Tamandua tetradactyla: one gene and its partners. The protein of the gene in region 1 interacts with the protein of each later gene in a pairwise test. Links are inferred from orthologs where the notes say so. Each region holds a gene or a part of one and is shown on either strand. Other genes may lie near its edges. The genes, in order: EFHC2, CLIC3, COPE and LONRF1.

Region 1 (8,008 bases):
CATGGACTAGTCACAAATATTGATCAAATATTAGGTCACAAAGAAAGCATCAGTAAGTTCTACAAAATAGAAATGTTACAAACAATAATTTCTAAACATATGCAATAAAACTAGAATTGAAAGAAAAATAAAAAAACAAAAAGAATAACCCTCTTCGAACTGGAAATTTAAAAATCTTCTATTAAACAGTTCTTGAGTGAAAAGGCAAATACGAGTAAAAAAATTATAGAATATCTAAGAAAAACCCAACAAGTAATAAAAACATTACATATCAGAGTCTACGAGATATGTTTAGAGATCAGGGGAAGGTTCATAGCCTCAAGCACTTATATCAATAAAGATAAAAGAATGAAAATGAATTATATTGCAACTTATAAAGCAAGAAAAAGAACAATAAATGAACGAAAAGAAAGCACAAGGAAGAAAACAAGGTAAAAGCAAACAATAATGAGGATTAAGAATAGAAATGAATAGGTCAAATTAATAAGTCAAAATTCTGATACTTTGGAAAAAAGTATGTGTAGATAGGTAGATAGAAAGATAGATAGATAGATATACCACTAGCTACATTCATCAAACCAAAAAAGGAGAAAAACAACTGTATCAAATAAGAAAGACAAAGAAGAAACAAAGATGAAGAATAAAAGTTTAACATGGAATGCAAACAGAAGTGAATGATTCCAAATGTTTTTCAGATGAGTAGTATAAACACTTTAGCTGGTGTGGGGGGAAACTGGGATAGAGGGCAAAGGCTAACCTAAGTAAATTTTGAACAAAATATTATGACTATATACACTAAGATGAAAGAAACAAACAAAAAAACACTGAGAAAATATTAAACTCTAGTTATTCACTTATTTTTCACAAGAATGTGAGTTAGATGTTCTGAAACTGCTTCTTGGGTCTTCTAGTATTGAACAAGTAGGTAAATATTTACCATTCTCCACTAAAAGGAATCAGTGATACTTGGAGAAATGGCTTATTCCAGGGTTGGGGCAGGGAAACTACCAAATGAGCTGGAATAGTATCTTATAGCATCAAAAAGGAAGTGCTCAAAAAATAGTGGGGATGATCAAAAGAACACAGGAGTCAGCTTCAGAGGACAATCTTGGACAATTTTAGAATCAAAATAAAGAATACTAGCGGATTATAATTCACTGAATAAAATAAGAATCTGTGAGATCACTTTGACATAAATAAATGGAGAAGAAGGAAAACTCTTCCTTGTAGGAGAATGTCAAATATAATAATATATGTAGAAGGAGTGATAGAGTTAGTCAATCACCATTTGGCAACTATCATGGTAATAAATGATTCAGGAAAAATAATTAATTGATACTAGTAGTTTAATGAGCAACTTGATATTTATATAATTTCAAAGTATCTCCTCACAAAATTCTTATTGATTAAAAAGGAAAAAATTGTAAATGTTACAGTGCAGGAACTTGGCATGCATCTCCTTCACCAAGTGATCACCAATGATGTTACAAATAGACATTATGTGCTTCTTCATATGATAAACTAGAAGGACACAATACTCCTTCCGTGGTGTCCCAGTCCAAAATTCATCACCTGCATGTACTCAATAGGAAACATTAGTCAAACCTGAATTGATGGATGTTCTACCAAATATCTGGCCTATTCTCGTAAAAAATATCAAGGTCATGAAAGTTAAAGAAAGGTTGAAGACTATTATAGATCAAAGGAGAATAAAGAGACATGACAACCAAGTGCAGTGTGTGAACTTTGATTACATTCTGAACCAGATTTTATGTATTTCCGTATTTACTGCTAGAAAGGACGTTATTGAGACAGTTGGCAAAGTTTGAGTGCTTTTTAGGTTAGAAAATGGCATTGTATTAATGCCAATTTTCCGATTTTGGTAATTTCACCTCAGTGATGTGAAAGAATGCCCTTGATCTTAGGATATATACACTGAATTATGTAGGAGTAAAAGGGCATATCTGCAACTTAATCTCAAATGGAAAAAATATGTATATAGGGAGAGCATAATACAACAAATAGGGTAAAATATGAAACAATTGGGGGAATCAAGTGAAAAGTAAACAGGAGTTTTTTATATTATTCTTTCAACATTTCTATAATGTTGAAATTATTTCAATTTAAAAACAAACAAAAATAAATATTTAAAGATGTTTGTAAAAAAAGTAGGAGAATAACTTCTTTAGGAGTAGTACAAGATTTCCTGATTTCACATACAAAGCACAAACCATAATGGTAATGAAAGATGCATTTGAATAGAATAAAATATCAAATTTATGTACAATAAATGGAATTAAAAGACAAACTACCAATAGTGAGATTTTTGCTATGCTTAAAAGCAGTCATCGAGGACATAAAAAAGCTAGAAATAAATTAGATAATCACAAATTTGCCAATATAAACATCAGCAAAAGATCCTGTGCTGGTTTGAATCTGTTATGTACCCCAGAAAAGATATGGTCTATTTTTAAAATTTATTTATTTATTATTAATTTTTAAATTAAAAAAACATAATAAACTAATGCAAACATTCTTATGATCATTTCGTTCTACATATATAATCAGTGATTCACAATATCATCACATAGTTGCATATTCAACATCATGATCATTTCTTGGAACATTTACATCAATTCACAAAAAGAAAATAAAAGACAACAGAAAAAAATTCATACATACCGTACCCCTTACCCCTCGCTTTCATTGATCACTAGCATTTCAAACTAAATTTATTTTAACATTTGTTCCCCCTATTATTCATTTTTATTCCATATATTCTACTCGTTTGTTGACAAGGTAGATAAAAGGAGCATCAGACACAAGGTTTTCACAATCACACAGTCACACTGTGAAAGCTATATCATTATTCAATCATCATCAAGATACATGGCTACTGGAACACAGCTCTAAATTTTCAAGCAGTTCCCTCCAGCCTCTCCATTACATCTTGAATAACAAGGTGATATCTACTTAATGCATAAGAATAACCTCCAGGATAACCTCTTGACTCTGTTTGGAATCTCTCAGCCATTGACACTTTGTCTCATTTCACTCTTCCCCCTTTTTGTCCAGAAGGTTTTCTCAATCCCTTTATGCTGAGTCTCAGCTCATTCTAGGGTTTTTCTCAATCCCTTGATGCTGAGTCTCAGCTCATTCTAGGATTTCTTTCCCACGTTGGCAGGAAGGTCCACACCCTTGGGAGTAATGTCCCACATAGACAGGGGGAGGGTGGTGAGTTTGCTTGTTGTGTTGGCTGGAGAGAGAGGCCACATCTGAGCAACAAAAGAAGCTCTCTTGGAGGTGACTCTTAGGCCTAAGTTCAAGTAGGCTTGACCTATCCCCTATGGGGTTAAGTTTCATATGAACAAACCCCAAGACTGGGGGCCCAGCCTTTGGTTGTCCGCACTGCTTGTGAGAATATCAAGAATTCAACTTGGGGAAGTTGAATTTCTCCCCGTTCTCATCATTCCCCGAAGGGGATTTTGCAAATACTTTTCCACTCACTGATCAAATCCCTGTGGGATTCATCGGGGCATCAGTCTGGACAAACCAACAAAATCTCATGTTCTACCCAGGATTCCAAGTAGTTTGTTATATTTATACTTTAATGTTCATGAAACCAATAAACCAAACCCAGGATGCCGGTAGCCTTTCCTCAGAGAAGGTATCTTCCTCTTGATGTCTTAATTTGGACAACAAAACAAACGAAAGCAAAAAAGGCACTATAGTTCCTGCCCTTGGAGGAACTTGGGGGAACATATGATTACAACATAGTGGGATAAAAACCACATTATGGATCAGTCCCTAATACACATAAGAGGTGAGCTGGAGAAAGTGAGGGAACATGTCACAGAAATGGTAGAGTCTTCTATGTGTCTCTCTTACACTGAACCAAGTCTTGAAAGACATGAAGGGATTATGCAAGTGAAAGATAGGCAGGAAGGGTGTTTCAAGCAGATCATGTTATCTGCAAAACCCCAGAGGAGTTGCAGGACCTGATTTGGAAATTACTAGTGATTTTTTCGGAGCTGGAATAGGAGGGATGGCAATGAAAGGGACAGAGAGAGTATCAGCAGGTATCCTCTGAGAAAGGCTCTTTAGATCAGGTTAAGGAGTTTGATTGCCTTCTGAAGGTGGAAGGAAGGATAGACTAGTTAAATGGTAGAGTAACAGGTGCATCATGAATTACAAAAGTATTAAATGATGGTTTTGAAGGCAAAATCAGTTAGATTATTATTTTTTTTTTAAAGAAGAAAACCGGGCAAGGAAAAATAGGGGCTCAACTGAGATCAAGGAAGTGGTAATTAAAAGCTACTAGAATATCCAAATAGTAGGACTTGGCGAGGCATTAGCTTTAAGTGTGGGGAGAGGAATCGCGGAAATTCCTGGCCTTGGGCATCTTGGGTGGATGGAGTGATGGGCTGCCTTTTGTGCTGCTTCACCCCACTGATTGGACCAAGAATGAGCATCTTACTTACAAATGTTTACTTCAAATATAAAAATACACAGGGGAAGGATTGAGGATGGTGGCTAATGAATAAATTTTCGTGTGGGGGATGGGTGGGGTATGTGTGGCTTTAGATTCATCTAGAATGTCTTCCATTAATTAAAGCTGATGCAAGCGCAACATAGGAAAACATTAATGTATGTTAATTCTCAGTCGGTACACGGGTGCCATATTATTTTCTGTATGTTTGACCTATTTAATAACTCAATTTCAGAACCAAACGGTAAAAAATATTGTGGCAAGGATGGAAGGTTCTTAAGTACATGAAAGGCTTTGGGATCTATAAAAGTGTTAAACCAGAAAGCGGCGGGGGCGGGAAGTGGTGCGGTTGTCAGCCTTTGTGTGTGCACAAAGCATTGACTGAGAAAAAGACTCTGGAGACCTGCTCTCGGCTGAGCGCCTGTGTGGGTGGGCGGGGCGGGGCGGGAGGGAGGTGGTGAGTGAGGGGGAGGTTCTCTCTCCGCCCCCGCCAGCCTCGCCCCACCCCCTCTGTGACACCGCCTCCCGTCTCCAGGTAACCGATGGGCCAAACAACGCGGCCCTAGGCGGCCGCAACCTGAGGCCTAGAGGCCGCCCCTCTTCTCTCTCTCTCTCTCAACCCTCCGACGCTCAGAGCCATGACTCTGCCGCTGCTGCCCGGCAACAGCTTTAACCGCAATGTGAGTAGCTAGGGAGCCGGTGTCAGAGCTCCGGCCCAGGCTTCCTGCCGTTGGTTCTTCTCCTGAGGGTTGCCTCAACTTTATAGCCTAGTGGAACCCTTACCTCTTCGCCTACACCCGCTCCCCCCTCCCCCAACTGCATCTGGGGGCTTTTCCTACATCAGATACATGAGTCCTAACAGGTGGCAGGACCCTTGAAGGTAGTGAAGACGATAGTGATGATGAAAATACTTAAGAATTACTGTTGAGCGTTTAAGATGTGCCAGGCACTGTTCTTTAATCGCCTTACGCGTCATCTGATGCTCCCAACGGCCCTTTGAATTGGATGCTATGTTGATTCCCATTTTACAGTTCAGGAAACTGAAGTACAGAGCGACCTCACTCACTGGTCCAAAGCTACACAGTCTCATAGTCCAGGGAACCTAATCATTTTCCTCAAATCACTGTGTGAACGAGATAAATATAGTACTTGTTAGTAAAGCGAAGAAACCTCAAGGGGGCTGAAGGTCAGGGTGGCATCCAAACGTGGAGAAATTTTTCTTTATTCAGAATCGGGAGGATCCATTTCAAAGCAAGATGAAGGAACAAAACAAAACACACACAAAAATCCTTGGGCGTTGATGAACTTCTGCCAATAAATAACACCTTATTTAAACAGCAGAAGAAAAGTGCTTGGGACTTTTGTCTGCATTGGTCACTACTCTTTACTTGGTTTTGCCAGTTGTGTCTGAAGGAGAAGGTAACTAATAGATCAATGGAAGAGAACTAAATGAAACCCTTCCGGATATTTACTTAAACCTCTGATAAATTTAGAAACCAGGTGGCCAATTGAAGCATTCAGCTTTATGTGTTCAGGACAGTGTATCCAAGTTGTTAGCCCTAGAGTAACCCCCTTCTTTGTAGCTTTAGGCCGTTAGATTCTGACCCCTACATAGGGTCTGCTCTTTCTGACTTGTACTGATTTGGGCATTTCTTGGCTGATGGGGAGAGGCTGGCCATTCAGCATAGCATTGGCCTTTGGTGGTATTAAGCCAGTCCTTCAAATAAGAATGGATCCGGGGAGGATGGGTATGGGGAAAAAAAAGAGTTTGGAAGTAAAGAAGCATGCTCTGTAAAAGAAATGATTTTTAATAAAGATTGAAAGTACAGCCCACAACTTTTGGCCAGACAACACTTCGGATTACTGCTGCACCTCATGCAGAAGTATCATAGCTTTCATATAGAACATTAAGTGTGGGAAAGAAAAGCAGTGGTTGGATGTGCTATTTTAAAATTTGCAAGGCTGTATGTACTGAGTGTACTTTTGCTTTTTTTTTAACTTATTATATTGTGTGGTACAATATATGTACAGAAAAATACACAATGGATGATCACAAAATGAACATTAAGAAATAGTACATTACCAGTACTTCCGAATTGTAATCCATAACTAGAGTTGCCAGATTTAGCAAATAAAAATACATGTCCCAAATATGGCATGGGACATACTTATATTAAAAATCATTTATTATTTATCTGAAGTTCAGATTTAACTGGGTGTCTAATATTTTATCTAGCAATCCTACTTCTGATCTTTTCTGTTGATCATTCTATCCTCACTCTCCAAAGATAACCGCTATTCTGGTTTTTATAACTATGGTTAGGTTTTACCTGCATTTGGACTTTCTACAAATGAAAACATCTGGTGTTTATTTTTTTCCTGACTAGCTTTTGTTGCTCAACATTATGTTTATAAGGTTTGTTCATGTGGCTATCTGTGGAGGCAGGTAGTATGTTTTCATTGCTCTGTAGTATTCCACTGTGTGAACAATGACATCATTTGTATATACATTTTACTCTTGATAGATATTTGGCTTGTTTGGGGTTATTAAGAATAGTTCTGCTCTATTCCTGTTCATACCTTTTGGTATAATTGCTGGGTCATGTGGTGTTCATATGTTCAGCTTTGGTAGACACTATCAGAGTCTTTATACCAATTTAAATTCTCACCAGCATTTTATGTTCCTCTTGTTCCATATTTTTTTTCTAATATTTGATATTGTTATTCATTTAAACTTTAGTTATTTTGGTGGGTGGATGTAACACAACTCTCTGTAGTTTTAATCTGCATTTTCCTGATTCCTAATGAGACTGAGCATATTTTATACATCTATTGGTCATTTGGATACTCTCTTTGTGCAATGCTTGTTTGTCCCTTGTCTAATTTTCTATTGTTTTTTTTTTTAATGAATAATTTTTCCTTTAGGTTAGTGCTTTCTAAGCTGTTCTCCCATGTTATCTTCTGGAAATTTTGTTATTTTACCTTTAGATCTACAATCAACCTAGAAGACATTTTGTTTGTGTGTATGAAGGAGGTGGGGTTCAGGTGGTAATTTTTATTCATATGTATATTCAGTTGTTTTAGGACCATTTTTGGAAAAGGTCCCCCTTTCTCCACTTCTCTGCAGAACAGCCTTTGTCATTAATCAAGTGCCACAGGTCTGTTTCTACACTCATGAATGTGCTTTAAAAATAAACACAAAAAACCAGAGGATTATTTACTTTATTCCTGAGGCCAATGAAAGTGTGTGTGTCCAGAGAATGAAGAGGGTATTAATTAGATAGATACCTTGGTCTGTCATTCAACCAATTAATATTTATTTGTTAAGCGTCCTAGTATGTGCCCAAATCAAGTGGCTGCGTTTTAAAAATTGTTGCATTAGCTTTGGTACTAAATGTGATGTATGTTGCCCCCCAAATAGTATTATTTTTAAAACTTTTACTTAGTTAAAGGATTGGATGATCTATGGGATAGAATGGTTAGAAAGGTAAAGCCAAATCTTGACTTCTCATCTCCCCA
Region 2 (7,291 bases), on another chromosome or scaffold:
CCCCTAAACGGGCTTGCCTGCTGTCCCCCAGGCCCAGCTTTCCTTCAACACGGACACACTCTGCTGACTACGAGGGGCCAGATCAGGACATGGCTAGGGACAGAAGTCGGGTAGAGGCTGAGGCCCCACTCCTGAACCCCCAGAGCCTGCCCACCAGGTCCTGGAGTTGGGGGTCCGGGGGCTATAGGCTTCACTACCACCCCCCACCCCATCCTCACCCCCTGCCCTGTGGTCACCTCGGCCTCCCACTCCCAACTGTGCCAAAGGCTGGCCCAGCCACGGGCCACACACCCTCACCCCGCTTTGCCTTAAAGCCTCGGGGCCCAGCCCAGCCCTGTGGCCCTGCTTTTGCCCTGCTCTGCCCATCACTGTGGGGCCTAGCCATACCACCCACGCTCTGTGCGCCCCACTCTCCTGCAGTGCCTGGAGCCTGCCTTGCTCTTACCCTGGATGCTGGCAGGCAGCCCGGCAGGGCCCGGAGCTGTGGGGCCGGGCAGGGGTGGCTGCGGCATTTCCCCTATTTATTTTGCATTAAGGAGAGGTTCCCTCACCCCACTTCAAGCAGGTGGGTCCTCAGAGGGAGCCGTGGGCAGGGGCCGGGGCTGTCTCGGGTGGGTGGCATGTGTGCCTGGAAGAAAAGAGAAGCTGGTCCTGCCACCAGGCCGGGGCCCAACACCGTCCCCAGCCCCCCTAGCCCCCCTTAGCCCCCCAGCTACTTGCCGCTCTCCCATCAGCTTAGCCCTCCCGCCGGGAGCCTGACCTGTACATAGCGCACAGATGTTTGTTTTAAATAAAAAACAAAATTGACCCCATCGAAGTGGTATGTGCAAGGTGGAGTGTTGGGGAACGGAGGGCCCCGAGGCTGGGCTGGAGCCTGGCCACCATATCTGCCCCATGGGCCCGTCCGGAATGTCTATCTTGGCAGAGGCAGCCCTGGCCCAGGGCCCAGCCGTGGGGAGGGGGCCGTTGGGCAGTCTGGGGGAGGGGCTGGAGGGCCATTGCCTCCACAGTGCTGCCCTTCCCACCCCCCTCCAGCTCCCTCAGGCTCCATGGCTGGGGCATCAGGGCTCTCTCACGCCAGGGAGCACCTGGGGGCTGCCACAGGCATCCCACCCACAGGCCTGGAGGCCCTGCTGCCCTCTTGGGGCACCAGAACCTGTTGCCTCCCTTGAGTCAACTTCCCAGGACCTGGTGCTTTACAGGAAAGTCAGCCCCGAGAGGGAAGGGCGGGGTCCCAGGAGCTGAGACGTCAGTAGAGGACCCCCCAGGACAGGGCAATGTGGACACGCACAAGGGCTGGGTCACCTGGTGGGGGCGGGGCATGGGGAAGGAGAGAGGGAGGGAGGGAAGGGTGACGGCAGACCCACACACTTGGGGCCTCGGGGGCCAAGGCAGCCCATTTATGGTCCTGAAGCCATGTCTGGAGGTAATGCTGGGGACTGCTGGAGTGCAGGCCGTCCCTGGGGTGGGGGACAGCCCCAGGAGGGTACTGAGCTGGCCAGACCCGTAGGGACCCTTACGCATTGGAGGGGCTGGGTAGGTGTGACAGCCACCCAAGAAGGGGCAGGTGGACCACCACCTTCGGCCTCCCTCCCTCTGGGCCGGGTATCTGGTGGTTTGGGCCCACAGGAATGCTTATTTATTCCATGGATGCCACTAGTGGGGATTTCCTAAGTGTTTCATCCTCTCTGCATTTATTAGCTGCCATTTTTCTCCCGAAGACCATTCCCCTTTTAAAAATGTCACTGCAGACTCATTTTTTCTTCCTTAAGTGAATATAATCCACTAGGGTCGATTTTATTGCTCAAGTTTGGCCCATGGGACCCCTTCAAGACAGCTTTCGTGTCCGGTGCCTATTTGGTTGAGCACTTCCTGAATTTGTTACAGGATTCCCAGGCGTGCTCCCTCCTCTCCTGCCGCAGTCCTGGATCAGCCATGTCTGTCGGGTCTCAGCCCTCTCAGCGGGGAGTGGGTGCAGAGCCTAGAAGCTGGGGCACTGGGTTCACTGTGCCTGCAGCGCCTGTTCCAGGTCCCCCAAGCCCAGAGCTGGGAGGAGAGGCGCCTACCCCCAACCCCCTCCCCAGGAACCCCCCTGCACCCAGGTCCTCCTTGCCCCCCTCCCAGCGTGCCTGCATTAACATGACGCTGGGGGCATCTACAGAGGGGTCCTTCAGGGGTTTTACAGATACACGAGACAAGTCCTGACACCTCAGGCGGCAGCCTCCAGCCCAGGGACCTGCAAAGAAGAAGAATGCTCAGATGCCAGGCCCCAGAGGCAACTCTGAATCCAGGGGAGGCAAGGCCCCTGCAGGATGAGGGGCGGGGAGGAGAGTGTGCTGAGGGGGGCAGGAGGTTTGGAGCTAAACGGACCTTGCCTCTGGTTGAGGTTGGTGACCATGAATTTCCTTAAAACACTGACGATGAAAATGTGGTAGAGAATTCAGCAATACCGATGGATAGAAGGTAAAGTTCACCTTCTGTGCTGCTGCTCAGAGGAGGTCACCGAGCTTCATTCAAAGTGATGTAGAGCTGGGTTCAACACTGTCCCCCCAATTCACATCCACAGGCACCTGAGAATGTGACCTTTCCTGGAAGCAGCATCTTTTGCCCATGTGATTGGTTAAATTCACGATGCCTGTCCTTAAAAGAGGAGAGACAGGCAGGGGGGTGAGGTCACCTGGTCACAGGAGTTGAGCCATGGTCCCAGCCCAGGTGCTTTGTTCCCGAAGCCCTAGGAGACGATACAGAATGATCCTAACAAGCCATTCCTATTTGCTTGTCTCCCTCTTACTGTCAGACGTGTGCTCACACAGGTGCCCGTAGACAACCTCGTGGAAGGGGGCTCGAGGACCTTCCAGGGCAGGCACAGGGGCTTCCGGGAGTCCGCAGCGGCGGGTGGCTCAGGCGCCCACGTGCAGCACCAGCGAGGAATCTTCAGGATTCCCAGCCGGGCCCACGCTAGCGCCTACGAGTGCACTCCCCAAATGCACTCTCCCACGTCTCTGCCAGTTGGAATGAGAAAAACTATCTTGTTCAGATGTTTCTTTTATATGTAAGGTGAAGAAACCTTTCCACATAGCTTGTTTCAGTTTTCCTTTTTTTCTGAAACACCTGTTCACATCATTGGCACAGCTCATCTTTTCTCTTACAGAGTATAATAAGAGACACGTATGTACCCCAAGGACAGTGGTCAGCAGTGCAGGTGCTAGGAGCTCAGGCTGCGACGGAGGTGGGAGACCAGAGGGGCGCCGTTTTTCTCCAACCACAGCAGGCACTTGGAGAGGAAACTAAGACCCCAGGGCCAGTCCTGAAGTGTAGGGCGAGCAGGGGCGCAGATCCCCCAAGACTCCTGATCTGGGAGTTGTGCGGGGAGCCCCACTGGGTCGGGAGGCATGGCGCTGGGGATGTCGGTCTGGGACATTCTCGGGGTCCTGGTTCAGGCGACGGGTGCCCCCGGAAGTGTGACTGCGGCTTTGCAAAAAGGCGAGTCTGGCAGAGTGGGCGGGCGAGCATAGGCCTCTGGAGCAGGCGCCACCGCGGCCGCCCAGTCGGGGCCTTGGCGTTAGGGCCCCCGGGGCAGTGCGAGCGAGAGAGAGGGCGGTGTCGCGGCGATCCCGCCTGTGGCCACCAGGTGGCAGCCGAGCCCCCGCAGCTCTCGGAGAGCCCCCGGGGTCTAACCCCGCCCCCCGACGACGGGGCTGGAGACCTCAGTAGGGGCGGATCTGGGCAGTGGTTTCCTCAAGCCCCCCCGGGAGACACGGGACCGCCAGGAGCCTGTGCTGACCTGCGGGCCCGCACGGGCCCCCTGTGGGGACTGAACACCCGGTCAGGAGATTGTGCCTCCTAACCCGTCTCCGGAGCTTCTTTCCGAAAGGGAAGAACAGGCTGCTCCGAGGGGCGCGAGGGTGGCGCCAGCAGGGGCCCTCCCTTACACCAGGGCGGGCTCTCCCTCCACCTCGCGGGCACGACTGGAATGCTGGCACAGCCCTGAGCCCGGGAGGGATAGGTACAGCTGGGACGGGCCAGACGAAGTCAACCGGTTAGAGGGGCGTCCCTCCCAGGTGGGCTTATCACTTTGCTAGTGGCCAGATCCCACAGATGGGGAAACTGAGGCAGAGGCTGAGATCAGGCATTCACGTCCCACCCCACCAGCCCCAATAAAGGCACCCTGGTTTTCTGGGCTGGGGGCTCTGACAATGGGGTATTCACTGCAGGGAGGATGGGGGGGGGCAGGAGCAGTGGTGTGCCTGATCAAGGGCTGAACTGCCCCAGGTGGCCCCGAGTTCCAGGCCACTGAGCCCTGTCCACCTGGCTCTTGGGCTCCCCTGTGGTCACGCCCACAGGTTCCAACAGCAGCCGCCTCACCGCCTTCCCCCTACTCACCCCCCCTCCTACTGTGGCTCCAAGGGGCGGGCCTGGGCCCAGAGGGCGGGGCAGCCAGAGCACCTTAAAGAGCTCCCGGGCCCCCGCCCAGAGCCCAGCGCCCTGGCTCAGCCTCCCCACCATGGCCGAGACCGCCAAGCTCCAGCTGTTCATCAAGGTGCTGGGCAGACTGGGTGGGGAAAGGGGCCGGGAGACTGGGGGTTGTGCTTCCTGGGCAGGCTTGAGAGGGGTCTCAGGGCAGTAACAAAGCCCCCACCCCTGTAATGAAGCTCAGGGCCTCGGGCAGGCCACCAAGGCTGAGTAAAGTGGGGACAGCCTGGGGGGGGGGGAATGCCACTTGGGAGCCCTCCTCTAAGTGAATGGTGTTCCCGCTCCCAGCTTGGCCCCGGGGCCTAGCTAAACTCTCCTGGAGGAAAGTCCCTGGTGGGAAGGGCCCCTGAAATGGTCCTCAGAGTTGGGGTCAGTGCGGCGGGAGGGGCAGGCCCAGGCAGCCCCCTTGACCCTCAGGCCAGCCAGTGTGTTCAGGGCCTGTGCAGGAGCTGTCAGCCTCTGGCCCCTGCCCACCCTTGAGGTGCTGGGAGTTAGTGCGGTGCCAGCCACGGAGCCCAGTTTGGTGGAGTGAATCACCGAGGAAACAGCTCACCGGGCCCACCCCACCCCTGTGACCTGCCTGCTGGGCCCAGAGCCCAGGGACCGGCCTCGGCCCAGGCTTTGCAGAGGATGGAGGGCCCAGGCTGTGGTCTCACCCCAGCCCTGGGCCTCTCTCCACTGCTCAGGGCCCAAGTCAAGGGCCCTCACCACTCTCTTGGCAGCCCTGGCCTTGCTCCAGTCCCCACTGGCCGCGGGAGGCACTTCCCACCCAGCCTGTGGCCAGACTCCCAGGTCGGCTCCTGGCCCTGACGCCCTCCTCCCGCCAACCCCAGGCCAGCGAGGACGGCGAGAGCGTGGGGCACTGCCCTTCCTGCCAGCGCCTCTTCATGATCCTGCTCCTCAAAGGTGTGCCCTTTACGCTCACCACTGTGGACACACGGAGGTGAGGCTGCCACCTGGGACATGCCAGCCCCAGCCGGGGAGCCCCTGCCAGAGCCCTCACGGCCTGCCTCACACCCCCAGGTCCCCTGATGTGCTGAAGGACTTCGCCCCCGGCTCGCAGCTGCCTATCCTGCTCTACGACGGCGAGGCCAAGACAGACACATTGCAAATAGAAGAATTCCTGGAGGAGACCCTGGGGCCCCCGGAGTGAGGGCGGCAGGGAGAGAGGGGCAAAGATGGGTCCAGAGAAAACAACCCGCACAGCCTGGGTGGGGGTGCCTGGGGGCGCTGAGAGGGTGGGCAGCCCCCTAGGAATGTGACGCAAGGCCCGCCCCCATCCCCCTCGCAGTTTCCCCAGCCTGGCGCCCCGCTACCGGGAGTCCACCACGGCAGGCAACGACGTCTTCCACAGGTTTTCTGCGTTCATCAAGAACCCGGTGCCGGCGCAGGATGATGGTGAGGTAACGGGGAACAGGGCTGGGAGAGCAGCCCCGGGCCTGGTCCTCACCGCACCCTCCACCCCCAGCCCTGTACCAGCTCCTGCTGCGCGCCCTCGCCAAGCTGGACGGCTACCTGCGCGCGCCCCTGGAGCACGAGCTTGCGCGTGAGCCGCAGCTACGTGAGTCCCGCCGCCGCTTCCTGGACGGCGACCAACTCACGCTGGCTGACTGCGGCCTGCTGCCCAAGCTGCACGTCGTGGATGTGAGTCAGGGCGCAGGGCGGCGGGCTGGGCACCGCGGAGGGTCTGCGCAAGGCCGTGACCCGCGCCCCTTGCCCGCAGACGGTGTGCGCGCACTTCCGCCAGGCGCCTGTCCCCACCGAACTGCGCGGTGTCCGCCGCTACCTGGAGAGCGCGCTGCAGGAGAAGGAGTTCAAGTACACGTGTCCTCACAGCGCCGAGATCCTGGCGGCCTACAGGCCCGCTGTGCACCCCCGCTAGCCACGCAGCACCAGCTTCTCTGCCCTGGGTGCGCTGGCCCAACATCTGAGGGACCAGAGGCCCTGAGATGACTGCTGCCCAAGCCTCCTGCGTGGGACAGTCACCTCAAGATGACCTACCCAGAATGCAAGGACAGGAGAGGCCATTGGTTGGGGAGAGCCCTCCACAGCCCCCTAGGCTCTCCATCAAGCAAACACACAGACTTGGGGCCTCTTGCATCCATCTGGGCTGTGACAAAAATTGCAAGGACCGGATTGGGCTCCCAAACCAGTCAGGCCAGGGCAGGGTGGGGAGGCAGGAGGGTGAAGGTGGGTGAGGAGCAGAGGCCCAGCCCCAGACACATCAGGGCTCACGGCCAGGTGGGCGGGAGCTGCCCCCCATCTTGGGGAGGGGACTGGATGGGTCAAACATGTTACCACATAGAACCTACACACTGGGTGCATTTACTTGTGTGTATGTGTGTGTGTGTGCTCACGTGGCTATGGCCCTGCTGGGGTGTGGTTTGGAAGGGTGGGGTGCGTAGGGCGGGCCGTGTGCCCTGGGGGTAGGAGCCGAGTCCCACCTGTTGGAAGACCATTAGCCCTGAGAGCACCGCCCCCTCAGCTCCTGGGCTGGCCCTGCAGGAGAGGTGGACAGATCTGGGAAAGCCGGATACTCTCCCAGCCAGACCCCGCCAGGAAAGCTCTTCCAGGAGCACAGAGCTTTGCACTATCACACTGTTTGTGGCCTGGGGCCCAGCCCAAGCGCAGGCCACAGGCCGGAGCTCCCAGATTCCCCCCCAGGCCAGCCCCCAGGTGCAGAGGCTGTTCCAGCTGCGAGGGAGCATTTATTTGATGGGAAGAGGCTTGAGGAGCAAGGTGGGCAGGAGGCAGTGGTAGGGTCTCCAGTGCTCCCCTTCCCCTCAAAGGCTCATTGTGGGGTGATTTCTGCTCTGCT
Region 3 (7,217 bases), on another chromosome or scaffold:
CCAGGTTGGGAAAGCAAGGGGGCTCAGGCCGCATCTCAGCACGGGGACAAGCTGGGTGTGGGTGGGCAGCGGGGAGAAGGGGCAGCAAGGATGGCTAAAAGCATGTTCCCAGCGGAGGGCATGGCCAGGGTGAAGTCCCCGTGGCTGGTGCGGGGCGCAGGGCCCGGCCTCACCTGCTTCATCATTGAGTGCAGGGCCACGGTGGGGAAGCCGAACTTGCGGAGCATCATGCACAGAACCTGGCAGGTCCTGGAGGTGAGGACACACCTGTCAGCCCCTCCCACCCCGTTCCCCCCAGAAGCCAAGCAGGGGGCCCCGCACAGCTCAGGAAGGGGGAGGGTGGCTGGTGCCGGAAGGTCTGCTGTCACCAAACTCTGCCACCCACAAGAAGGAGAGTCGGGAAACAGGCAGTGAGAGAGACCAGTCAGCATCATGTAAGCTGCTGGATCCCGCCGTACCTGACAGCCGCTCTCCAGCCAGCCCTTCACTTTTCTGGTAACTGATATATTTCCTTGGGAAACAGCCAGTTAGAAAGTCTGGCTCCCTGGCATAGGGTGGGGTAGCCAACCTGTCTCGTGCCAGACCAGCCTCTGGTAGGAGCCAATGTGAAGTAGTCTGAGAGGCCCACCAGCTAGGTACGGGCTGGACATCCGTGCATTAGTGACACCCTGGGCCATGGCAGCTTCCCCAGGGGGTTCGGGGCCTCAAGGGCTGCTTGGCAATAGAGCTGCAGAGGGGCTGAGGCATCAGCGGGGCCCAGCCTGCCCTGGGCTGGGTGACCCAGGTTCACGGCCCGACCCTGAGCTTTGCTTTCAGCCAACTGCCTCTATGTGCCCAGACTGTGCCCAGGCTCCCGGGACCTGCTGCCCAGCCCAGGGCTGTGGCCTTGGTGTGGCTGCTGGGGAGAGACCAGGGCGCTGGGGTCCCGAGGCCTGGGCGGGGCAGCCTGCTCACTTGCACGTGCGGGTGAAGATGACGATGGCCCAGTCCTTGTGTGCGTCATGGAAGGTCTGGACCAGGTGGACCAGGTAGGCGTCCTTGACCTTCTCGGGCACCAGCAGGTAGTGCTGCTCCAGCTGCTCCACCGTGCTGACCCTGGCATGGGCAGGGCCGTCGAGCTCAGTTTCTCTCCTGCCCAGCTCGGTCTACGGTTTTGGAACGCCCATGACCCCCCAACCATCCCTCCCACCCCGGGCCCCCGGGACGCACGGGGCCTGGGCCTCCCAGAAGAAGGGCTGGTTGGTGGCCAGGCCTTGCAGCTCCCGGAGCGTGTCGGTCAGCGTGGCGCTGAAAAGCAGCGTCTGCCGCCGGGCTGGCACTGCCCCGAGGATGGCCTCCAGGTCCACGGTGAAGTCGGTGCAGCCCTGCTCCAGCAGCCGGTCGGCCTCGTCCAGCACCTGCCCGGTAGATGGGGGTGAGGCCCATGAGCCAGGGCCGCCTGCCTCCTGGGAGCGCCCTCCTCACGCCAGTCTCAGCTGCGTGCGGCCCCGGCTGCTCGGTCCCCCAGGCTGCCCTCCTCTCAGTTCCTAACACTCTGCTGGGTGATCCATTGTTGCTGGGAGGGGGAGGGGGACGACACGGATCTGAGCCCCCCATGTGAAGGCTGAGCCCGGCCTGGGGCCGACGAGCCAGCTCACCAGGAAGCGGATCTTCTTGATGCTGAAGGTGCTGGAGCTGCGGAGGTGGTCGGCCAGGCGCCCTGGCGTGGCAATGACCACATGTGGCCTCCGGGAGAGCTCCAGGGCCTGGGCCACCATGTCTGTGGGCGGAGGAGGAGCGGGGGCTGGGTGGGGCTCTGAGGACGCTGGGGGTCCCAGGCCCGGAGACCCCCGGCACCCCCTTACCCATGCCACCGACGATGGTGCAGTCTTTCAGGCCCAGCGGCTTCCCCAGAACCCGGAACTGCTCAGCGATCTGGTAGGCCAGTTCCCTGTGGGTGCACAGGCACTGGACTGAGGCCAGCACAGCGCCCGCCCCTGCCGCCCGTCCCCACCCTATTCCAGGCCTCCTCCTGGCCTCCCAACTCATCCACACCAAGTCCCTTTAGCTCCCTCTAACTCCACCCAAACTGGCACCTGCCCCTACCCCAAACTTGCATCTGCTCCATGGTCCCCTTCTCAGTAATGGCCTCGCCAGTCACCCCCGCGCCCAAGCCAGAGAAACCTGAGCACCAGCCTCCTCTGCCCTGCCCAGTCCCCTCCTCCCTGCCCCAAAGTCCCAGCTCTACCCGGACCCCCTCCCTGGCTTGCGTCCTCTTCTCTGCTCACACCTCTCAAACAATTCGAAAGCCTTGGCCTGGCACTCAAGGCCATTCGTGAGCTGCCTCCACCACCTTTTTGTTATCTTTTCCTTACACCCCTGCATAGATACACTCGCGGTTTCTTTGGTCTACACTGCTTCATCCCCACGTGACCCTTTGGCATCCTTCACACAGAGCCTCCCGTGACCCCTCTCCTCAGATCCAATTAAATGCACACCGCCTGGCACTCAGCTTTCACTGCTTGTCACGGGACCTGTCCTTTTTTTTCGTGCCAGTCAATGGCTGGGTCGTACTGAACACTCTTATTTTTCACTGTATGGATCTCTGGACTTCTCTGCTGAGGCTCTGGGCTCGATGCCTGACCCCATTTTGCACATGGGAAAAGTGTGGCACAGAGCAGTGAAGGTATTTGTCCCAGAGAACACAGCGAGTTAATCACACCCAGGGTGTCCGTGGGGGGCTTACCTGGTGGGAGTCAGGACGAGGCAGAAGATGCCGTAGGGGTCCTCAGACAGCTTTTGCAAGATGGGCAGGACAAACGCTGCCGTCTTGCCGCTGCCTGTCTTGGCACAGCCCAGGCAGTCCCGACCTGGGCAGGGGAGGACAAAGCAGCAGCCACATGCTCCACAAACAGTTCCATGCGGCAGTTTAGGACAGCCGGCATTTAATAAGTAGTTACTGCAAACCCTGCTCCAGCCTGTATCCTTTAAGTTCCTGGCACGTGAGCAATCACCATATAAAGGAGAAACCATCACCAGTCCCATTAAATAGAGAGAGATGCTGAGTCTCATGGACTCGCCCAGGACAGAGCTGGTGACTAGAAGGACTGGAGAGAACTCATGTCCACCTGACCCAAGATGCTGTGCTGCTAGCCACCGCCTCATTCTCACTCGTCTGGAGCATCCGGGACTGGGAAATCTGGAATGCCCTCCCCCAACCTGCATCCTACACTCCACAGCGCTTCCTTCACTTTCCTTTTACGCAGGGCCTCAACTTGTTACACCCTAAAATATCCCCCCAAAGGAGCACTAGGCCTACACAAACAACTCTCATTTTTTAACAGGACACTGAGTAGAAAGACTGGGCTGAAAGCAGTAAAAAACTGAAATTCCCAGGACGTCTTAAATGGCAAAACAGAGTTAGGCAAGGAAAGTGGGGAGAAGGACGGTCAGGGGACCACGTGGTCCAGGATCCAGCACCAATTTTGACAGCCTCAGTTTCCTTTTTTGCAAAACAAAGACAGCAGGTCCCGCTCTGCCAAATCCCACAGTACTATTGACAAGTCACTCATCAAACCCGATCTGTGCTTCACATTTAGGAAAGTTCAGAGAGGTTAAGCCACTTGTCTGCAGACACGCAGAGACCGAATCGTGCAGTCTAAACGGTATCGCAGTCCTGGGTGCCTCCGGAGCTCAGGCTGGCCCGGCACGCTAAAGGCTGGTCCTCGCCTCGGGACCGGCCATAGGCAAAGGCTGCGAGAAGGGAAGGGGGGCGGAGAGAGGCGGAGGGTGAGGAGTACTCACCCTCCAGGATGGCGGGGATGCAGCCGAGCTGCACGGGCGTGGGCTGCTTCAAACCCAGCTGCCGACACTGTTCCACGAGCCACGAAGACAGCCCGAGTTGCGCGAAACCTGCCATCCTCGCCGCGAGCATGAACAGTGTGAGCCGCGCTTCCGGCGCGTGCCAATGGCGTCACGAGAACCTATTCGTTCATTGGTTACTCCTCCTTGGTGATCCCGCCCCCTTCAGCTTACTTGACCATTCCCGGCCTCCACCGCCTCTTTACCGCGTGTCCCCGAATGCCAGACCCCAGCTAAACTACAATTCCCGAGATGCCCTGCGAGAGGCCCTTGCGTCTTCCGCCCCCCCTACTTCGGCTTACGAGCCTCCCATTGGCTCAGAGCTCAGCCTCCCGGAACAAGGAAAACTACACTTCCCGGCGTGCTCCGCGGTGGGCGCTTGCTTCCGGCCGACGTGTCCCTCCGGAAGAGAAGCGAGTGAGACTAGGAGATGGCGCCCCCGGCTCCCGGCCCGGCCCCCGGCGGCCCGGGCGAGGTGGACGAGCTTTTTGACGTGAAGAACGCCTTCTACATCGGTAGCTACCAGCAGTGCATCAACGAGGCGCAGCGGGTGAAGGTGCGGCCGGGGCGTGGGTGATCGCGGGCCGCGCTCACTTCTCATAATTTCCCTTCGTCTCCTCGAGGCGGTTTCCCTCCGCTCGCCCCTTCAGAGCGCGCCGGGGCATTTCCGTTGTTCCGTCAGGAAACCCAAGGCGGCACCACTTCCTGTTCCTGAGCGCCCACTCTGCGCCCTGCAGGCGTTTGACTTAGGAGCAATGTGTAGCGCTCTAACGAGGGTCACGGTAAATAACAGTAGTAACAGCGTAACGAACCCTGAGTCCCTTTGCCGAGCGCCCGCTCAGTGCCCGCTGTGCGTTCACCACCTGTGAGGTGGGGATGTCTGTCCTCATTGTACAGTTGACAGCAGCGAGGCTCCGGAAGGAAAGTGGCTTTCCCGAAGCTATCCTGCCCGACTAGTCCGGTTGTTTCTCCCAAAACCCTCTCCTTCACTTGCTTGTTCACGCATTCATTCTTTATTGAGCATTTGTAGGTGTCTTAGTTTCCTTGGACTGCTGTAACAAAGTGCCACAAACTGGATGGCTTAAAACGACAAAGATTTATGAATTTATGAGGTCATAGTTCTGGAGACCAGAAGTCCGCAGTCAAGGTGTGGACAGGGCCGGGCTCTCTCTGAGGTCTGTAGGGGAACCTCTGTTCTGTGCCTGTCCCCTCGCTTCTGGTGGTGGCTTGCCAGCAATCCTTGGCATTCGTCCTCCTCTCTGTGTCAGATCCCCTCTTATGCAAACACCAGTCATGTGTACAGGCTTAGCTTAACTGTCTAATTCACCTATTACAACCTTATTTCTGAGTAAGATCACGTCCCAAGGTGCTCAGGGTTGGGACTTCAATATATCTCTTTGAAGGATGCCATTCAGTTGTGCAAGCATGGCTTGGTCACGGTGGAAGAAGCCAGCCTGGGCCTCTTTATTGTGATCCAAAATGGGGTGAATGAGGGGGAGGACAGAGAATGAGGTGGTTATAGCAGGAGTTTGCAGTTTTTTCTGAAGGCATGAGAGACTGCTGGAGCCCTAAGGCGACAGAGGGCTGAGGAGGAATTTGGACACTTGCCTTGTTTCTGGCACCTGATGGATTCACCTGGTTTCTCTGAGTCGGTGTCCTGGACCTTAGTAAGCTGTTAGGATTTGTGGAAACAACATTTGTGTAGTTGTTGTTCTGTGTTGCTGCTGAAGCAAATTCATACCAACTTAATGGCTTAGAATAGCACAAATGGAATATCTTACAATTTCCGTAGGTGAGACATCTGGCCTGGGTCTCACTGGGCTAAATCAAGGTGTAGACGGGGTATGTTCCTTTTTGGAGACTCTGGGGGAGAATCTGCTTCTAGGCTTGGGATGGTTATGTCAGTGTATCAATTTGGACAGGTTATGGTGCCCAGTTGTTTTGTCAATCAAGCACTGGCCTGATTGCTTCTGGGAGGGTATTTTCTGGATCTGAAGCATTAGACAGTTGATTGCATCTGCAGCTGATTGTGTCTACAATCAACAAAGGAGATTGCTTTCAGCAATGAGAGAAACCTCATCCAATCAGTTGAAGGCCTTGAAGGGAGAACTAACAGGATTTCTGCAGTCAGAAAGAAGAATTTCCACCTCTGCCTCAACCGGCTTCTCCAGGGAGTTCATGGAAATCTTCATTGCGTTCCCAGCTTGTGGCCTGCCCTATGGAACTCAGACTTGCTACCCTACAGCATGTTCCTGTCACGTATCTCTTAATATTTACATTTGTACTTATCCATCCTGTCAGTTCTGCTAGACCTCGGCTGACATGGGCTCGTTCAGGTTGATCCTTGTGGGACTGAGGTGTTTCCTGACTGCCATCAGCTGAGGCCACCCTCCTGCCACTCTCTGGTCCTCCCCCTCCATCTCAGATCCCACGATGATGCGGCAAATCCTTCTATGCTTGGAATCTCCTGACCTTTCCTCCTGCTGAATCCCTTCCGGGTCCCACTGAGCGAATTCCCTGTTGCACGTGTGGTCTGACGGGACCTCCCATGTGAACTGCAGAGCCCCTTCTGTGATGCGTCAGCTGCTTGCCGGTGCCAGGCTCGGGGTGCAGCTCTCTGGGGCCTTCTCTGGCCTCCCATCACCTCCCCTTCTGGGGCCTTCTCTGACCTCCCACCACCTCCCTCTGGGGCCTTCTCTGGCCTCTGGGGCCTTCTCTGAATCCCACCTCCCCGCAGTTTGGACGTGTTGGTTGTGTCTGTGTTCTGGGAGTGAAGCCCCATTGTAGACGTCATTTCCCCAGGACCCGGGCTCGCTGGCCCCTAGCTGTGGAACACAGGCTTCTGGGAGTAAGCATCGCCTGGCTGGTGCCTTGATTTTGGACGTCTCCTGACTCAAAACCGTGAGCCCGTAAATTCCTGCTGTTTAAGCTGGCCCAGTGTGGTGTTTGTTTTAGTAGCTGGGAAACAAGAACACGCCGTGATTGTGTTTGGCTCCCAGCCGGGAGCTTGTATTCCTCTCTGCTCTGCTCTCTCTGGGACGGGCCAAGCCCCTGTACTGCTTTGAGCCTCAGTTTCCCCTTCTGTCAGACGAGGTAATGGCACCTATATCTAGAGTTGTTTTGAGGTTCGGAGTCGCATTCAAGCTCACCTTCCAGGGCCCCCTCTGACATTGAAGTGAACTTGCCGTGCGAATCTTCTCACTTCATAACACGCAAACCTAATCTCAACCCCAAAGTGCAATGTCAGTGGGGCCCGTCCTGTGGGGAAGGGGCTGCAAATGCCCACTTCTCGCTGGTGGCTGCTGGTGGCTGGTCTCTGAGCCGCTGGCCTGCTCCATCATGGGGGGACACTGAAGACAGGTCAGCACAAACTGAGA
Region 4 (7,921 bases), on another chromosome or scaffold:
CAGGGAGCCCACAGGAGATGGAACCAGAGATGTTGGAAAGTGGGGAAAGATCCAGAGTTGACTTCTGGGGATGGTAAGGACTCTGGATTTTCTTCTGAATGGAACAGGAAGCAAATACTGTGTTTTGCAGAAGAACATGGCTTCTGTTTTAAGATGATCACTCTGGTTGCTTTGTTTCTGCTGGAACAAAGGGGGGTAATGAGAGAAGCTGAGGCCATTTAGGAGGACGTTGCAGTAGTCAGGTGAGAGATGATGGTGGTTTGGACCAGGGTGGTATCAGGGGAGGGTAAGAATGCATCAGATTCGGTATATATTCTGAAGGTAGAACCAGAAAGATTTTTCTGGTAGACAAGATATGACTATGAGAGAAAGGAGAAATGGAGAAAATAAATTTTACTAGTGTGTTAATGATAAATTAATTTGTCACTAAAAAATAAAAAATAAAGATGAAGAATAATACTAGGTGATATTTTTACTTTTTCTTTTTTTTTTTTTTTTGGAGGCAGGGGGAGTCATTCAACAAGGATTATTTAGTATCTTTTCGCTTTTCAGTGTCCTAAGTGCCTAGAGATATATGGGCAAACAAGATGGGCAGAAGTCTGAGCTCTCAAGGAGCTTATATTTGGGGGTAAGGGTAAGGGGTGGGGATTGTTGGGCAACCAAGGAACAAGGATAGAGAGTACCAGGGGAGTTCGTTCCTGGTTATTCTTAGAACATATTAAAAATAATTTATGGGGTTATTCCTCTATTTTTTAAATTTTATTTTATTTTTTGGCATGGGCAAGCTCTGGGAATTGAACCCAGGTCTCCAGCATGGCAGGTGAGAACTCTGCCACTGAGCCACCATTGCCCACTCTATTTCTTTTCTTTCTTTCTTTTTTTTTTTTTTTTGCATGGGCAGGCACCGGGAATTGAACCCGGGTCTCTGGCATGGCAGGCAAGAACTCTGCCTGCTGAGCCACTGTGGCCTGCCCTCTATGTCTTTTTAAGAGCTTAATATTGGAAAATACATTCATCTGATCAATTTGACCACCAAGAAAATCTAGATGACCCACTTAGAATCTCTAGATTCTTCAGCGTATTAGGAAAGAAGAATTAAGAATGGAGCCCTTAGTAAGTCCCTGTACTTTGAAAGCATTCCCCCGTGGGGATAGCAGGTTTTAGTAATGAACAGTAAACTGTCCTTGGCTAGAGAGTAGACACTGTAGCAATTGGGTTTGGCCATCTACTTCCCATCACCTCTATTTAACCTACACAGATTGTCCTCATTAGGGCTTTTCAAAAACTTAGAACACCGTTAGAGCAATCATATACTGTATATTTTTAGCATCTTACATAAACTTTCCCCCAAATGCCCAAGTTATATAACCCGCCTCCACAGGCTTTCCTCCAGCCTCTCAGAGATTTACAGTAGGGGCTAGCAGATATGTGAGTGTGGGGGGAGTGGGGGGGGGTGAGTATGAGTGGGAATGGGGGTGGTCCCTGTCCAGTGACTGAAAGTATTCATGTCCCAGAGATTGGTTTCTCCTCCTCTGAGCAGGGTGGTTGGATGCTAACACACTGTGCTTCTTGGTGCCCTCAGCCCTCACCCTCTGCTCTTACATTCCCATCAGGTGTTACGCTGCTCTGTTCCAGAGTCGGAGAGATTTGCTGCCTCTTCTCATTGTGCTCAATAAAATCCCTACAGCGTCCCTCCAGCGGCGGAAGGGACCTTCAGAGATCTTTACAGTTCCTTCATTTTACAGGCAGCAACTGAGGCCAGGAGACATCAGGTGACTTCCTCCTCTCCATTCTAGAGCCATAAATATGGTCAGCAGATTCCCTACCCAGTGGGATTTCTGTTAAACCAGCAGCTTCTCAGCTCTCTATTCTCTCATATATATATATGTGTGTGTGTGTGTGTGTGTGTGTGTGCGCGTCTGTGTGTGTGTGTGTGTGTGTGTGTGTGTGTGTGTGTGTGTGTGTGTGTGTAGGAAGGTGGACTCTAATGCCCCTCCTGTCTGTATCTTAGGTTTGGGTATATACCGATTAAACTTTAGATTTTACTGTTTTCAGTGCATTGTGTAGAATGTTGTTAACCGAAATGAGTCAGGGTGAAGACATACATTTTGCTTGGCTCTTTAAAGGCTCTTTAAAGCTTCAATTCAGTCTTTTTTAATGATAAGAATGTGAAGAAAAAATGGTGAATTCACCCACATGAAAAAAAAAAGGTTCAAATATACATCTTAATCTAGCTTATGTATAAAAAAACCACTGTGTTATGTTATTAAATAGGAGTTTACCTAACTATATCAGGAAAAGTCTCCTTATGGTGTGGGGGTGGAGCTGGGATAAAGCAGGGAATGATGGTGATAAGCAGTTTCCAAATTAGGAAACAGATACGTTTTTCTTCTTACTCTTACATAACTGATCTCATTTTAGAAGACACTAAAAAACTGAAATGAAATGCAAGTCTCACAGCTTTACTATTTCGTGAGCAAAGAATGACAGGGGCAAGTAATGCTTAAAAGGAAAAGAGAGGAGAGCTCTTTGCTCCTTCATACTCCTTACCGTCCAGAGGCTAAATTGCAGGATTCTTTTCTCCATCTCAGGCTGCAGGTTGAGTCAGAGATCAAAGTCTAAATTTTAGACAATGAGTGAAAAAAAGATCATTTCTCTCTCTCCTTTGAATTTAAAGAGAAGCTGCATTAAAGTGCCTGTATATCCCTTTTTGTCACACAGAATGACAGAAGAGTGACCTGTTGTACTGCCGGTGATTGCTTTGCCCCAGACTTCCTGAGTCAGAGGGAATTTGTGCGGCACACAAAAGCCACAGCAGCAGTACAGCCTCTTACATAAATAAGTTACATAAATGAGAACAAGTTATGTAAATGTATAAACCAGCAAACATGAATTACAGCCATTCACAAATGCCAGGGAGAATAGAGCAAGATTCCTCCCAGCGTCCCATTCTTTTTCACACATTATCATAATTGTGCCATTTTATTTTATGCCAGAATTAGATTTGGTTATTTGTCATATTAAGGAAAGCAACTCCAAAGGACAAATGATACTACCCATTATTTTCTGAACCACACATTTTACATGGGGGGGGGGGGATATCCCACAATAAATGTGTGTGGGCATCTGACTAAAATCTTTGTTCTGCTTATTGAGGGAAGGTAGTAATTTAGGGGGTTAGGATTAAAGGTTATGCTCCTGAATTAATCATGCCCACCACCTCCCACCACAAATGATTAGGAATTGTTTTTTTGGACCATAGCTGCAATTTGTTTCAGGTACAATGTGCATGATAAATGAACTTGTTTGCCCATGCATTCTTTTGCGACAAGAGCCTCCGTTTTTCCTCGGTGAGCTCTTCATTCTCCTCCCCACTGGGGGTAATGTAGCTATATCTTCTCTGAAGTTACTTGATTTGCTCATTGTATAAGAAAAACAAGTGTGACTCAGAACAGGCTTAACTGTTCTGGATAAAGAGGTATATTAATTGTTAGCCAATTTCACACATAATAGGCTCAGTTTAATATCCCAGCTAGCAACTTCCTTTACCTTGGAAATTCATGAAAAACTTTTCTAAGAATTAACATAGTATTGTAATAATGGGATAAGAGCTGACTTTAAAGCCTTTGTACTCTTCAGATGGATTGTATGGCGTCTGAATATATCTCAATAAAAATGCATTTACAAAAGGGAAAAGAACTGTTAGTATATTAACTGTGTGATTTTGGGCAAATAACTTTCCCTGTCTGGGTCATTGATTCCCGTTTGAAAAAGGACTAAAAGTTGTCTTAAGTCACTTCCAGCAATGGCAATTTAATACTTTACAATCAAAACTATAATTATTTATAACTGAGACCTGTAAATGCTGCTGCTAGTTTAAAGGAAATATAGCCCTATATATATATATATATATATAAATTTTTCCTTCTGACGTCAAAACTGCGGACCTTGCTTCAGTTGTAATGATATCGCAACTGTCATTTGAAAACCAATTTTCCTGGTGTTTTCCCTTTTAAAATGACAAATATAGACATTAGCCTGCTGTGGGGCAGTGATTGTGGCATGCGAAGGACAACGGGCATCCTCTTTGGCGTGGAAGACGGGTTTTAAACAGGAAAGAGCAGTAACTTGCACCTGGAAAAATCGCCTCGCTCTCTGGAAGGAGAGACTTCTTAGGAATGTGGGTGGGTTTTGTTTGTTTCTAAGGTTGACCGACTCTAGACTTGAGTCACAAAGTCACCAACTGAGTCTGAGCATCTCTAGGCACTCCGCCTCTACCTGTCCATCTGTAGCTTGGGGCATAAACTAATGAAAATGCAGACCTGCACCTGACAATCAAGACACCACCCCGCAGCCTCCCACTCATCAGGCAGAGAGGGCAGGTCCCCACCCAGGCGGGTGGGTCAGGAGAGGGTCAGCTGTCTGAGCTTCAGAAGAGCGCCCACCAAACAGGGGCTGGGGAAGAAGAAAGAGGAGAGGCCCTGGCAAGTGGGGTGCGTCCCGTGAGAAGGCAAGGGAGACGGAGATTCCGAGCTCCTTTGGGCTTTGTTCAATAACAGCAAGCCGGGCCCTTCCTTCCGGGAGAGGCCAATTACGTCCCCGCTGGGGGATCATCTGACCTCTCTTCCTTCGCGGGGAGGGGGTCTGGAGTGGGCGGGGCCAGCGAAAAGCTCCTCCGGAACCGGGCCGCGGGGCGGTGCGGAGGAGTCCCGGACGCCGGAGCCCAGCCAGGCCCCGCCCCGCGTCTGGCCCCGCCCCTCCCAGCCCCGCCTCCCGGGCTTCCCGGGCGCGCGCCGCCCCGCCGTGTCCGCGCGCCACGCCCCCCTGCCCGCGGGCCGCGTGGGAGCCGCGCGCTCCGGAGGCTCCCGGACCGTGGCGGCGGGCGGGCGGCGGCGGCGGCGGCGGCGCGGCCCTCCCGGGGCCATGTCTTCTCCGGCAGTAGCGAGGAGCTCCCCGGACGGGAGCCGGGAGATGGCCCCCAGGTCGCGGAGCCGGGCCGGCTTTTGGGAAGTGGGCGGCGGCAGCGGAGACCGGCTGGAGCGCGCGGCCGCGGAGTCGGAGCGCTGGGAGCTGCTGCTCCGCCGCGGCGAGCTGCTGGCGCTGGGCGGCCACCTGAAGGGAGCGCTGGAGGCTTATTCGGCGGCGCTGCGCCGCGGGGCCCCGGCCAGGCCCGAGCGCCTCGGCACCCTGGTGGATTGTCTGGTGCTCAACTACCGGCTCCGCCACGGGCTGGGCTGGAGCGCGGCCCCGGCCGCGGGAGCGGACGCCGGCGGGCTCCTGAGCTGTCTGGGCTGCCGGGGCTTCCTGAGCGAGCCGGTGACCGTGCCCTGTGGCCACAGCTACTGTCGCCGCTGCCTGCGGAGAGAGCTCCGCGCCCGCTGCCGCCTGTGCCGGGACCGGCTGCCGCCCGCCGCCGCTGATGCTGAGGGGACCACCCCGCGGCCGCCGCCTCCGGCCGCCGCCATCGCCGCCTCGGGCTTCAGGACCAGCGTCGTCCTCAACCACCTGGCGGAGAAGTGGTTCCCGGGCCAGCGGGAGCGGGCCCAGGCGGCCGGCCGGCTCTGGGAGCTCCTGCACCAGGGGCGCTACCGGGAGGCCCTGGCCGCCGCCTGCGAGGCGCTGCAAGCAGGTGACCGCACGGGGATGCGGCGCGGGCCGGGCCGCCGCCACCCTCCCTTCCCCGACAGAGCGGGTCTCGGGAGTCTCTTCCGCCCCACTGAGGTGCCCCGGCCTCCCCGAGGCCTCCCGTGGGCCGGGTGTCGGGGTCCTCGCGGGTGTGGGAGGGGGCGGCGCCCGGGAGTGCTTCGGTCACAATGGGGATCGCCTTGCGAGCCGACTGTGACGCGGCGCAGGGAGGGGCGCCCCGGCGCGGGGTTCCCGCCGCTCTGCGCTCGGGCGGGCGCGTCCGGAGCGGGACGGTGCCCCGGGCCGAGGCCGCGCGGCCGCGGGATGGGGTGGGAGTCGGGCGAGCCGGGGCAGCCCCTCGCTTCCTCCCGCGCTCTTTCCGGTCGTCAGCCGCGGCCTCCCGCCGGTGGGGGTGGGGGTGGCCGGGCAGGGGGGATGGGGTTGATGATAGTGGGGCCGGGAGAGCTCCCCGGCCCGGGCAGGGCGTGTAACGTTTACCACCTTCTCCCACAAAAGTCACCCAGGCAATTGGAAGCCGCGGGAGGGCACAATTGCATAAGCTGGGGTGGGGGTGGGGGTTGTGTAACGGGTGACGTCGGGGGGCGTGGCGGGAGCTCCGCGCCCGCACCCCCAGGCCCGCCCGCCAGCCCGCCGCTGGGCTCCCGGCGGGGTCCGACCTGCTCTGGGACGTTCAGCTCCTGGCTGAAAATGCCTTCAGAGTTGCCCCTTCTCTCGTAGGGTTCAGCCTGCCGATTTCAAGTCCAATTTCTGTCATATTCATGTGTACCTGCGCGCTTGTTTTCGAATCCACTGAGTTGGTCGTAAGGATAAAGAGTCTCTGGTGGAGTTTTGTGCCTTGCTTCTTTTTGCCTTTCCAACCTTTTTCAAGTCTTTTGTCTCTTTCTTCGCCTCCAGGGCGCCGCTCTTGCTTCAGAACTCATGCTTTTCTTAAGGTGTTTTGAAACTGTGGAAGGAGGCAACGTCGAACGGCCGCGAGTGAAGTGAAGAGCTACTCCTTTAAATAAATTGGTTGTTCTCAACGAGGGGGGATTTTGCGTCCCCCGTTTGGCGACTTCTGTGCACAATTTTGGAGGTCGCTACTTGGGAGGGGGTTGGTACCTAGTGGGCATCTGGTGGGTAGAGGCCAGTGTTGCTGCTAAACATCCTATAAGGCAATGGACAGCCCCTCACAACAAAGAATTATCAGGCCAAGATGACAGAGGTGTTGTTAATAAAGAGGCTAAATTAGAATTAAATAAGAATGTTTCAAGATTTTAATGTCTATATAGGTATAAAATATTACTTGGGGGAACAATCGCCAAGAAAATAGACATTTAAAATATAAGTTAATGTTAGGAACTAAGTAAGTTTATAAACCATGTAACTGGAAGTTTCTTGTTATGGGTCTTTCCCTTAAGAGCTTATTCATTTTGAATTAGTGACAATATCAAGTTTTTTAAATACCTTTAGAGTTCAAAGCACAAACCCAGCATATTTTCATATTTTTTCAGCATCTGTATGAGGAGTAGGCAGTTAAAAAATTGAACAGAGTGATAGTCCTAGAACAAAAGAAATTTGTAGTACAGGATTCTGGTGCAGAGAACTTTACCTCTCAGGGTGAATGGAATAAGAGTTGGGAAACTGGACTTGGCTGTACAGATTATCTAGCAACTATCCATGGTCTTCATTTTTAAAATGAAGAAGCAGAAACCAGGGCAGAGAAGTAACTTGTTCACAGCCACACACTGGCTGTTTTCCTAAATATTGCTGGTTCAGGAATTAAAGCTGCCTTTGTAACTCGCCCAGTGAAAATGTTTAATATACATTTCCAAGAATTTCTTTTGACACTAGTACAAAATTGAAGATGAAACGTATTGAGAGCATTATTTAGTATTAGCTACTAATTTAATCATTAGAACCTCAGGTTAGGTCCTTTTTAAGTATTCATTTCCTAGCCCATGGGAAAACAGTGAAGTGTATTTACTAATTAAGGTCTAGTTTAAAGTTCTATGAATAAAGAATTTTTTTTAATTGATGAAGATCCTGGATCTTGGATTGACAATATTATTTTTCAAAAAAGGCCTGAGAGTTCTACACTTCTCTCTCTTTAAAATTTGCATTGGCTAGCAATGGAAATTTTGCCCACTCACCTACTATTCTAGTTTGCTAGCTGCCGGAATGCAATATACCAGAAACGGAATGGCTTTTAAAAAGGGGAATTTAATAAGTTGCTAGTTTACTGTTCTAAAGCCGAGAAAATGTCACAGTTAAAACAAGTCTATAGAAATGTCCAATT

Evidence for each region.
Region 2: the proteins of EFHC2 (region 1) and CLIC3 interact in binary tests that used the Homo sapiens proteins (3 or more experiments, as listed by UniProt). The two-hybrid records come from large-scale screens. The link is inferred for Tamandua tetradactyla from reciprocal best matches to the Homo sapiens genes EFHC2 and CLIC3.
Region 3: the proteins of EFHC2 (region 1) and COPE interact in binary tests that used the Homo sapiens proteins (3 or more experiments, as listed by UniProt). The two-hybrid records come from large-scale screens. The link is inferred for Tamandua tetradactyla from reciprocal best matches to the Homo sapiens genes EFHC2 and COPE.
Region 4: the proteins of EFHC2 (region 1) and LONRF1 interact in binary tests that used the Homo sapiens proteins (3 or more experiments, as listed by UniProt). The two-hybrid records come from large-scale screens. The link is inferred for Tamandua tetradactyla from reciprocal best matches to the Homo sapiens genes EFHC2 and LONRF1.

The regions. Positions count from the first base shown.
Region 1 is NC_135353.1:127,136,645-127,144,652, forward strand, and holds the start of EFHC2 (EF-hand domain-containing family member C2), read left to right. Parts: upstream 1-5,006; 5' UTR 5,007-5,127; coding exon 5,128-5,169; intron 5,170-8,008. UniProt on the Homo sapiens protein: Microtubule inner protein (MIP) part of the dynein-decorated doublet microtubules (DMTs) in cilia axoneme, which is required for motile cilia beating.
Region 2 is NC_135328.1:131,001,213-131,008,503, forward strand, and holds CLIC3 (chloride intracellular channel protein 3), read left to right. Parts: upstream 1-4,419; 5' UTR 4,420-4,504; coding exon 4,505-4,540; intron 4,541-5,306; coding exon 5,307-5,416; intron 5,417-5,496; coding exon 5,497-5,622; intron 5,623-5,764; coding exon 5,765-5,871; intron 5,872-5,941; coding exon 5,942-6,117; intron 6,118-6,196; coding exon 6,197-6,355; 3' UTR 6,356-6,784; downstream 6,785-7,291. Other genes in the region: ABCA2 (ATP-binding cassette sub-family A member 2), read left to right, coding at 32-67. UniProt on the Homo sapiens protein: In the soluble state, catalyzes glutaredoxin-like thiol disulfide exchange reactions with reduced glutathione as electron donor.
Region 3 is NC_135337.1:95,906,743-95,913,959, forward strand, and holds the start of COPE (coatomer subunit epsilon), read left to right. Parts: upstream 1-4,209; 5' UTR 4,210-4,270; coding exon 4,271-4,396; exon of another isoform or gene 4,397-4,512; intron 4,513-7,217. Other genes in the region: putative ATP-dependent RNA helicase DDX49, read right to left, coding at 174-249, 955-1,095, 1,210-1,397, 1,638-1,759, 1,845-1,930, 2,726-2,849, 3,784-3,913. UniProt on the Homo sapiens protein: The coatomer is a cytosolic protein complex that binds to dilysine motifs and reversibly associates with Golgi non-clathrin-coated vesicles, which further mediate biosynthetic protein transport from the ER, via the Golgi up to the trans Golgi network.
Region 4 is NC_135352.1:16,311,308-16,319,228, reverse strand, and holds the start of LONRF1 (LON peptidase N-terminal domain and RING finger protein 1), read left to right. Parts: upstream 1-4,907; 5' UTR 4,908-4,923; coding exon 4,924-5,629; intron 5,630-7,921.